Schizosaccharomyces pombe: one gene and its partner. The gene in region 2 interacts genetically with the main gene of each other region. Each region holds a gene or a part of one and is shown on either strand. Other genes may lie near its edges.

The links.
Region 1: mutations in arg1 (region 2) and atg1 impair growth when combined (synthetic growth defect), as found in Schizosaccharomyces pombe (one study listed by BioGRID).

The regions. Positions count from the first base shown.
Region 1 is NC_003421.2:849,313-854,329, forward strand, and holds atg1 (autophagy serine/threonine protein kinase Atg1), read right to left. Parts: upstream 3,371-5,017; 5' UTR 3,293-3,370; coding exon 3,191-3,292; intron 3,129-3,190; coding exon 738-3,128; 3' UTR 521-737; downstream 1-520. Other genes in the region: thg1 (tRNA guanylyltransferase), read left to right, coding at 16-120, 174-317. UniProt on the Schizosaccharomyces pombe protein: Serine/threonine protein kinase involved in the cytoplasm to vacuole transport (Cvt) and found to be essential in autophagy, where it is required for the formation of autophagosomes.
Region 2 is NC_003421.2:1,612,497-1,616,732, forward strand, and holds arg1 (acetylornithine aminotransferase), read right to left. Parts: upstream 2,441-4,236; 5' UTR 2,402-2,440; coding exon 2,330-2,401; exon of another isoform or gene 2,302-2,329; intron 2,082-2,301; coding exon 828-2,081; 3' UTR 551-827; downstream 1-550. Other genes in the region: Protor homolog, Bit61, read right to left, coding at 1-68; NEDD8-conjugating enzyme Ubc12, read right to left, coding at 2,583-2,692, 2,940-3,087, 3,199-3,287, 3,370-3,465, 3,532-3,622; protein Gta3, read left to right, coding at 4,167-4,236.

The DNA of each region.
Region 1 (5,017 bases), 760 kb from region 2:
TGAATTACTTTACAGGGTACCGTCAGCGCAGAAAAACATGAAATTTTGTTCTCAAAATTCGGCATCAACTATAATTTTGAACCAGAGATATACAAAAAGGGCTCGATTTGGATTCGTGAGGTATGCTCGACAAACTTTGTTTAAATTAATTTTTGCTTACTTATTTAATTTAGCCTATTGATCAAGAATGGCATCAACAAGACAAAAAGTTCTCCGTAAAACAAAAGAAGAAAATGGTTTTATCTATCCTTCACGTAAGTCTGATAGACGATGACTTTTGGACTTCAAGGCCATTTCTTGAGGTATTGTTACAATAATTTCCTTTCACACATTTGTAAATTATGGGTCGTTTGAACAAAAACATTATCACTCGTTTAATTGTTTCTCTCATGCAGTCATCAGCTCTAGGCCGTATAAAACAAATCTTTGTTTTGGAAATCAAAAAAGTACTAGATTCTTGCCTTGATACGTTAAATAGCTGTTTTACTTGTTTGAAAAATTTAAGAGAAAAAAAATAATATGCACGAAATTTGAATAGAGATAAACCTCAATAAATAAGAGTTAAATATACGGGACTATCAACCCTATGTATAAAAAAAGCAAAATTAAAAACGTCTATATTAAAAAGTTATATAAATAATATGGTCATAACAACGAATTCATAACAAAATTTAGACTCAGAGCTCAGCTCATACAATATGCGAATTTGTTCAATAAAAGGGCGAAATCGTCGGTGTTCAAGCAAGATTGGGGGCAAGTGTTATTTTCGCAACACTTTCTGTTACTTTGTTGGCTACATTAGCCTGGATTTGTTTCGATTGTAAAAGTTCTTGCCTTTTCGTTATCAAAGCAATCAAATTTCTTATGGTTACTGAATTATTGGAATCGTTAGCACCGTCTGGAGTCGAAAAATTACTCTCAAGAAGTGACTCCAACAAATGTGCTGCAAGCCGGTAATTTTGTAAACAAGCCTGTGCATCATTTCCTGACAGTTCACTAGTGGCTGCATTTCTGGATAGGTCCAATGCTCTATGATAAATTAATTGAGAAGCTGACACAGGTTTGGTAGTTGGCAAAGAATGTGCGGCACTTTGAGAAATAATAATTTCACGTAAAAATTGGGATTTCTCAAGACTTTCTGAATACCTTTGACGAAACCATTCAATGGCTTGTTGGCAATCAGGAGATGCACGTTCTTCAGAGTTGGCCCAAAAAGCAGCAACACCGTCAAACGCCACTTGTAACAGCTCAATGTCTCTCTCATAAAGTACATACGATTCCTTGGCTAACATAACCAATGAAAAAGGAGTCAAAGGTCTATCCAAGAGTGTATCTCCAGGCTTCATTTCATCAGACAAAGAAGGAATAATTTGAGCAAGCTTCACTTCAGCCAGATGGTAGACAGAGTTTGATTTCATCGCTATACTTTCTAAAACATCAAGCAATCTTTTACCGGTGTCAGGTAAGGAAGGTTGGATAATGTTGACATTGTTATCCAAATTGCTTTCTTTTGTAGGAAGGGATGTGTTTCCATTATCTGTCATACCATCCACTACAACTTCATTAAGCCTAGCGTTTGCAACATTTAGTGCTCGTTCTAGAGCGCTTTTATTTCGCGCACCACCTCCAGATTGAGGTACATGTGCTGTAGCTTGCTCAAACGCACGACGTAGTTGAGTGACTGGGGTTGAAGCAATGTAGGTAGGATTAGAAGGGAAAGCATTGGGTTTCATGTAAGGGATTTGCATCCGGCTAGTATGGGGAAACGCATGATTATTTACAGGAGCGCTTTCAGGAGAGAAACTACCTTGAAAAACACCTTCGTTTGGTGAAGGCGAGTTACCATTGATTGATTGCTCGTGGGTTAGGCTTTCATTGGAAAGTTGGGTAGAAGAGATTATGGGATGATGGTCCACTACGACATAGGCGCTACTTTTGTTCGAAGTATCACTTGTCAACTTAGCAGGAGATGCCATGGGTATAGGTTGCTTAGAGGTTAATCGAGGAGGGAAAATGCTAGCAGCAGGAGCACTTTCAGGAGGAAACACGGGGGTGTATGGTAAAGTGTTTCCATCTTGTGCATAGCGATGAGGCACCCTTCGACCGGTAATTTCAGAGGGCTGAATACTAGACCCCTGAGCTTGGAAAGCTTGACGCAACAAACCGCCTGGAGGAGCAGGAGCGCCAGGATTACTTTTTGGGAAAAAATCGGTTATGTAGGCAGGACTAGAAGATGGAATGTTTATTTCCTTAACCGCATCTTGAATATCGCTACCGGTCAAAGTAGATGCGTCATCTAATGGAGTAGTGACAACAATACTGGAAAAGAAACCGTCGTAGTCGATACGATCAGCCGGATTTTGCTTCAGCAAAGCACAGATAAGGGTTTTAATGTCCGGGTGAATGAAAGCTTCTTCAGGAAACTTGATGACATCTTTAGCTTTTTGAATCCTCCTAAGAAGTTCGACATGATTTGGGGCCTTGAAGGGAGGCTTTCCAACAGCCATTTCGTATAACACAGCACCTACTGACCACAAATCGGCTTTAGCATCATATTTCTCGTAACGAAGTATTTCGGGCGCCATATACAACGGAGAGCCACATAGAGTTTCCGCCATACTAGACGTTTGAAGGTAACGTGCAAAACCAAAGTCTGCTAATTTAAGCATTGGTAGCTTGGGACTTCCCACAAACTGGGGATGCTCTTCCAGATAGGCAGCGGTGGGTGGTGGTTGTAAAAGAAGATTTTGGGGTTTGACATCTCGATGAATTAAAGAACGCGATCGTAAAAATTGGAGTGCAGAAGCAAGTTGTTGGGTAAAATGCCGAACCAACGTCTCATTCAATCCAGCCTTGTAAACTGGCGGATGATCGATGTTGATCCAGGCTAAGGAGGGAATACTGTTAAACTTTTCTCGCTTTCGAATAAAATAACTCAAATCTCCTAGGGAGCAATACTCCATGACCAGGTGAATGAACCGCCCAGCCTTAATACAGTCTATCAGTTCCACAACATGCACATGACGGATCTCTTTAAGGATTGAAATTTCACTTTCTAAATTCTCCAAAAGTTTCTTAGTAAGCTTCTTTGTCAATACGCTTTTAATAGAGATCACTCGATTCGTTTCCTGCAACACGATTAGCCACCAAATTCCATTGAAACAGACAAGCAGTTGCTTCTTTTACTTACCGTGTGCTTTCCTTTATACACAATTGCGAAAGATCCACGTCCAATTTCCGATCGAATGACATAGGGACCAATTGTTTGATTTGTACTCGTCTGTAAGTTCATACAGCTTCTGGTTCACGATAAGACAGGTGTAAGGGTTTTAGCTGCCTTTATACTCACTTTGATAGCATGGGAGTTGGCAAGGATAGCGGGTCGCCATTGATAATATAGCTGCGTAAAAGGCACTTTCCGCACTGGGCTTTAATACCTTAAAATAAATTGCGATCGTGGTGCGGCTGTAAAAGGTAACAGGAGATATGGTTTCGGGATAACAAGTTTTATGGGAGTAAGCACTATGAATAGAATGCGAGTTTATAGAGGAAATTGTATTAACTCAATGAATTATAATATTTTACACACATATACCTGCTGGTAGTGTCTAAATTCTTTGAAATTGTTCCCTTTTTGTGCAGCTGAAAAATGCCGAAAGTGGGTTAAGACGAAATAAATGTGTTAATTTTTGCCATGTCAGTTACCGATTTGAGTACGGAAAGCAAGTGTGTGTGGAATTAGAGGATAAGAACGGAAGTAGATAATACTCCAGACGAAGCGTAGATACCCGCGAAAAGGCAAATTAGTTGGAAAAGGCGATTGTCATGGATAGAGTGATCGAGGCAGATGAAAATGCAAGTGTAAATAGAGGGTAAATTTGGATAAAAAACCGGCGGCAGATGTACAACTTGTACCACTGTACCAGTTTCATGCCATATAGAAATAATATAAAAAAAAAAAGTAAACTGGATTTAAAAGACAAAAAAAAAAGAAAAGAAGGAGCCTACAGCACCCCGGATTCCCATGTTGTCTCCAACCATAGTACTAACGAGGCCCTCAGACGCTTAACTGCAGTGATCGGACGGGAACTGGTGTTTTCGCCTAGGTATGGCCGTAGACATTTGTTGTGTTAAATAATAATATTTATGGTTGAAGAAAAGAATATCATTTTTTTTATGCAGTGTGAGTTTTGGCTCAAACGCATGTATATAATACTACAAAACAGGGAATTGGGCAATGACTAGTATTCAAACATGCCCTGAGGACTTGAAGACCATAATGGAAGGTAAGAACTCTCTTGCAGAAAATTAAAAGAAAATTTCCAATCATAATATGTTGCTTTTCTCTTTATTGATATATACGAGATTGGTTGTGGAATCCAAATTTCTAAAACAGACTTTAAAGTCAACATTAGCGAAAACGCTACTGAAAACAAGCAACGTTATAAAAAATTCACCTTCTCACCATGAATAGTTTAATTTTGTATTTGCGTGATAATAAAATAAATAAATTAATTCGAGAATATAAAATAAAAAAAGTTTTGAAACTGAATATAAGTGCTTGTTGCCAATAATACTGCAATGAAGTTTGAAACAAAAAATAAAAAAAAATAAAGTAAAAATAATAAGTTAATCAAAATTTTGATTTTGTAGCAATAAATAAATTAATGAATTTTTTTTTAATCTATTATTTTCTAGGAAATTTGGAAAATTAATAAATGGAATTAAAATGCTTATGCTCCGAGTCGTACACTGTTTAATTAATTTTAAGCAAGCAAAAATAATATACTGTTCGTTTCGAAGCAACCTATTCTACTTAAAATTGTGCCACGATATCCGCTCAGATACTCGTTGTTATACATTTCTCAATAAATGAATATTTTGATCTTCCTAAATATGCGAACTGTAATAGTCAATTACCTTTAAATATATGACTGATTGAATAGCAAAACTATATATACATATATTTTGTAATATCATTTTTACCGAAATTTATAGTCCGTTTTAGTTTTATTCG
Region 2 (4,236 bases):
GTGTTTTTTGGAATCCAATTAATGGATGAGGCGCTCGAGGTAGATGAAAAAGATCCCCTCCCTACCATCTTTAGTAATATTTTTGGAAATGTACTGAGGGTATCCAAGAAATTTGCTTTTAGTTACGCGAAATGCGATTCTTCAAAATAAGCATGAGATGATATTCATTGTTCAATCATTATAAAATGATTAAACTTACTTAAAAAAATGATATTTTTTAGAAAGATAAAAAATTTTGTTTATTTTTGAATATGGTGGTATTTTGCTAAAGTATCGATGTGCGCCTTAAATTAAGATAAAATATAGAAACGAAAAATTGATTAAGAATTCCTTATAACGATATCGTTCTAATGTGAATTGAATGAATAGCATGTTGATATAATAATTGTATGCCAAAGAAAAAAATAGTTAATGCTAAAAGAAAACATGGAATGTTATTTGCTATATAACTTTTTAAAAGTTAGTAATAGAAAACGCAGTAAAAAAACATTGATTTTGTGAATTACTATCATTTGACAGAGTATTTACGGTACATATTACGACAATTCAGTTTAGTAGATGAAAAACAACAATATATATCTAATTTTCTAACAAAAAATGTAAACAAAATTGATTATGAAAAGAAAGGGAATAACGAAAACCAGTATTTACAATGTAAAGCTTCCAGCTAAGCTTTTCGTAACCCCCCTATCAAAAAATTTTTTGGTTGGCAAATGAGAGCAAGGTTAATATATGTTTTCGAGGAACAAGATTTCTCGTAATAATCACTTTTTATCGCACTATATAACCAATCCATTCAATGACCAAGTCTACGAAAACATACACTTTTACTTACTTAAAGCCTTCAAAGTGCTCTCCATGATATCCAAACCCTTAGCAATAACCTCATCTTTAACATTCAAACTAGGAAGGACACGGGTGTTGTTGTTTCCACCTGGTAAGAGTAAAAGACCTTGTTGACGAGCAAGCTCAATAAATTTAGCAGGGGGCTCGGTAAATTGCAAACCAAGAAGAAGACCACGACCAGCATATCCACGAATAAGATTAGGGTATTTGGCAACAAAGTCATCAAAACGTGAAGTAAGAGCCTTGTGTTGCTTTCTAACGTTTTGTAGAATCTTGGATGACCCTAATTCATTAACACAGAATGTGCCTACACGGCAAGCAACAGGATTACCTCCGAAAGTACTGCCATGTTCACCAGGGTGAATTTCAGCAGCGATCTTACTGGAGACAATGGTGGCGCCGATAGGTAGACCATTAGCCAAAGGTTTGGCAACTGTGATAATATCGGGACTAGCGACATCCTTAACGATACTATGGGCCCAAAGATCACCGCTGCGACCAAGTCCGCATTGAATTTCATCATAGATTAAAGAAGCACCAACCTTATCACAGGCCTTGCGCAAAGCAATCAAAAATTCAGGCTTGGCAGGACAAATACCACCTTCACCTTGAACGGGCTCGACAATAACAGCCGCAGTTTTGTCATTGACAAATTGCTCTATGGATGCAGGGTCATTATAGACGGCTTGGACGACATCAGGAAGTAATGGTTGGAAACCACGTTTATATTTGGGGTTCGCAGTGATACTAAGAGATCCCAAAGAACGGCCGTGGAAAGAGTTATTAAAGTAAACAATTTGACTCTTCCCTTCTCCATACTTCTCAAACGCTGCCTTACGAGCGAACTTCAAGGCTGTCTCATTGGCCTCAGTACCACAATTGGCAAAGAAAATTTTTGTGGGGCCAGCAATACCGCTATTTTTTGCCAAAGAATTATTAATGACATTAGATAGCTCAATGGCAGGCTCGTTGTAGAAAAGGTTGCTACTATGGACTAATTTGGAGCATTGATCAGCGGCAAGTCTAGCAACTTCAGGATGAGCATGACCCAAAGATGTAACAGCTACGCCAGAGGTGAAGTCAATGTATTTACGACCTTCCTTGTCAAACAAATAGGAGCCCTCACCTTTAGCAGCTACGACTGGATAGCGTGCATAAACTGATATAATATTCGCCCCTTCCTTCTTGATAATATTGCAACTGGTTGTATCAGGAGTTGGATCTTTGTGGGTAAGCTAAACTTGGTTAATAAGCAGTTTAAGAAATATTAAAATTAGTACTGTATGAGGCAGTATGAAAGCACAAATGAAGATTTATTTTGTTGGGTCAGTAAGAAGCATTCTCAACATCAATACTTGTCTAAAAACAAGAGCAAAGTACAGAATTCTCGAAAACAATCAGAATTAGATGATAGTCTAATTATTTGCCATCGTATGTTCAGTTGCACTTACAATGCATACTCTATCAACAAACTTGTACTTACGCTGACAAATCGACGAAAGGCGATTTGGGAACCAGACGAACGAACAGAGAGAAGTGATCGTCTTTGAAACATTGTAAAGCAGTTACGGGCTTATTAGGGGGGTTTGGTTCTGGTTATGTGTTTTTATACTGATATCGGAAGTTCATCGTAATCGTGACTGATTTAGCGAGATTTAAAACACATCAATATTTTCATGACAGTCGTCTAATCTATGTCGGTTATCTTTATCGAATTGATTTAGATTGATGAAAAATTAAGCCATGACATTGTCAAAAGAAATTCCATTCACAAGACCACCTTTCATGGCTGTACGCACACGAGATGCAAATCCTTGAGGGTCTTTATGCAAATCAGCCGCCGCCTCTAAAAGATATCGTTTGTTAGTATAGTTAAATAAATCTAGAAAATTTGTTAAGGAGCAAACCAGATTTCTTATATTAAAATTGCTTATCATAATCATTGTCCTCAGTAAAGAACCTTATAAATCCCATAATAAAGGATCGTAGAAAAAATGAGTATCAAATGATAGTTAAGAGATGAATAATCATTTCCTTGTAATGCAATAACAAGAAATAGTTCATTGCCCCCCAAAAAATTGTAATTAACCTACCTTTGTTGAGTGGATCTTCTGCGTTTGGTGACAAGAATAAAAATTGCAATCCAACCAAAATAGAATTCAAATTCAACACTGGATTCCAATCCTGACGCAGAATATTGAGGCATACGTTTCCCTCAATATCGATATTTGGGTGATAGATCTAACAGTAGGTCAGAACGAAAGGGTTCAAAACATGTTATAATGGTTATTTTCTTAAATGCAAAAAATATACCATAAGCTGCAACTCTAATTTAGAGCATGACTGACATACTTTGTTTAGACATTTAACCTTAGGAGGATCATGAGGATAATTATCGTCGATTTGGATTCGAAATTTAAATTTCCCACCCTTGTAATACCCTTTTCATGTTAATCAAAATAAAAAATAATAGTCTCAAAAAGTCTACACCAAATATTCTTTCATGCGGAATCACAAACTTACCTTCGTCAGGCCGGATTTCTAAATGTAGCACGTTCAATTTTATAGGATCTGGCCAGCTTGTAGACATCGTAGATGGGATTTCTAAATCTGTAACGTCTAAATTCATCGAAAATGGTTAGTTTCGAGTAAATCGCGAAAAGTTATCAACATGATGAGTCGCACCTTTTTGGATTCGGATTTGTGCTGGACTAATCCCTGACGCATTTTTCTCTTTTTGAGCTTCTTTCTTTTTTAATTCCCAAATTTTTCTCATGATTTACGCGATTCTTGTAATAGGCAGAAGGATGGAAAATGCGCTTACAATTTTGGGTATAAACAATACTCTCATACATCATTAAAAAATAGCGAAACATGTAGACACCTAAAGTGCTAATAATGTGGCATTTTATATTACCTTATTCAATTGCAATAACCAATTTTAATAAAGTCGTTACTCTACGCAAGCATTCAACAATATTACGTACTGGAACACTGCTATGTAAAGTTATATACAGACATCGCAGGATGTCGTAAATTTAGGGAATGGGAAACGGTTATCATAGTAATGAAAAATAGTTCTCCTAATTAGAGAAGCTGATTATATTGACTTTACTTACCGAATGATTTAATATATTCCTTTACTATTAATTCTAAAAAAACCCAGACTTACAACCTAGTCGTTAAATTGTAGGAACCGACTACAACTTCGACAGCTGTTTCAAAGCATTTGAAAAACTTACAAAGTGTTTAAGATTGAATCTTTTTTTTAACCTGTACTATATTTTTCTCTTGTAATTAGCTCTATTTTCCTTTTCACTATGCCATTTTTGAAACCTTCAAAGGTTTCACTTAAACGAATTCTCCAAGGAAATCCACCCAAACCAATTG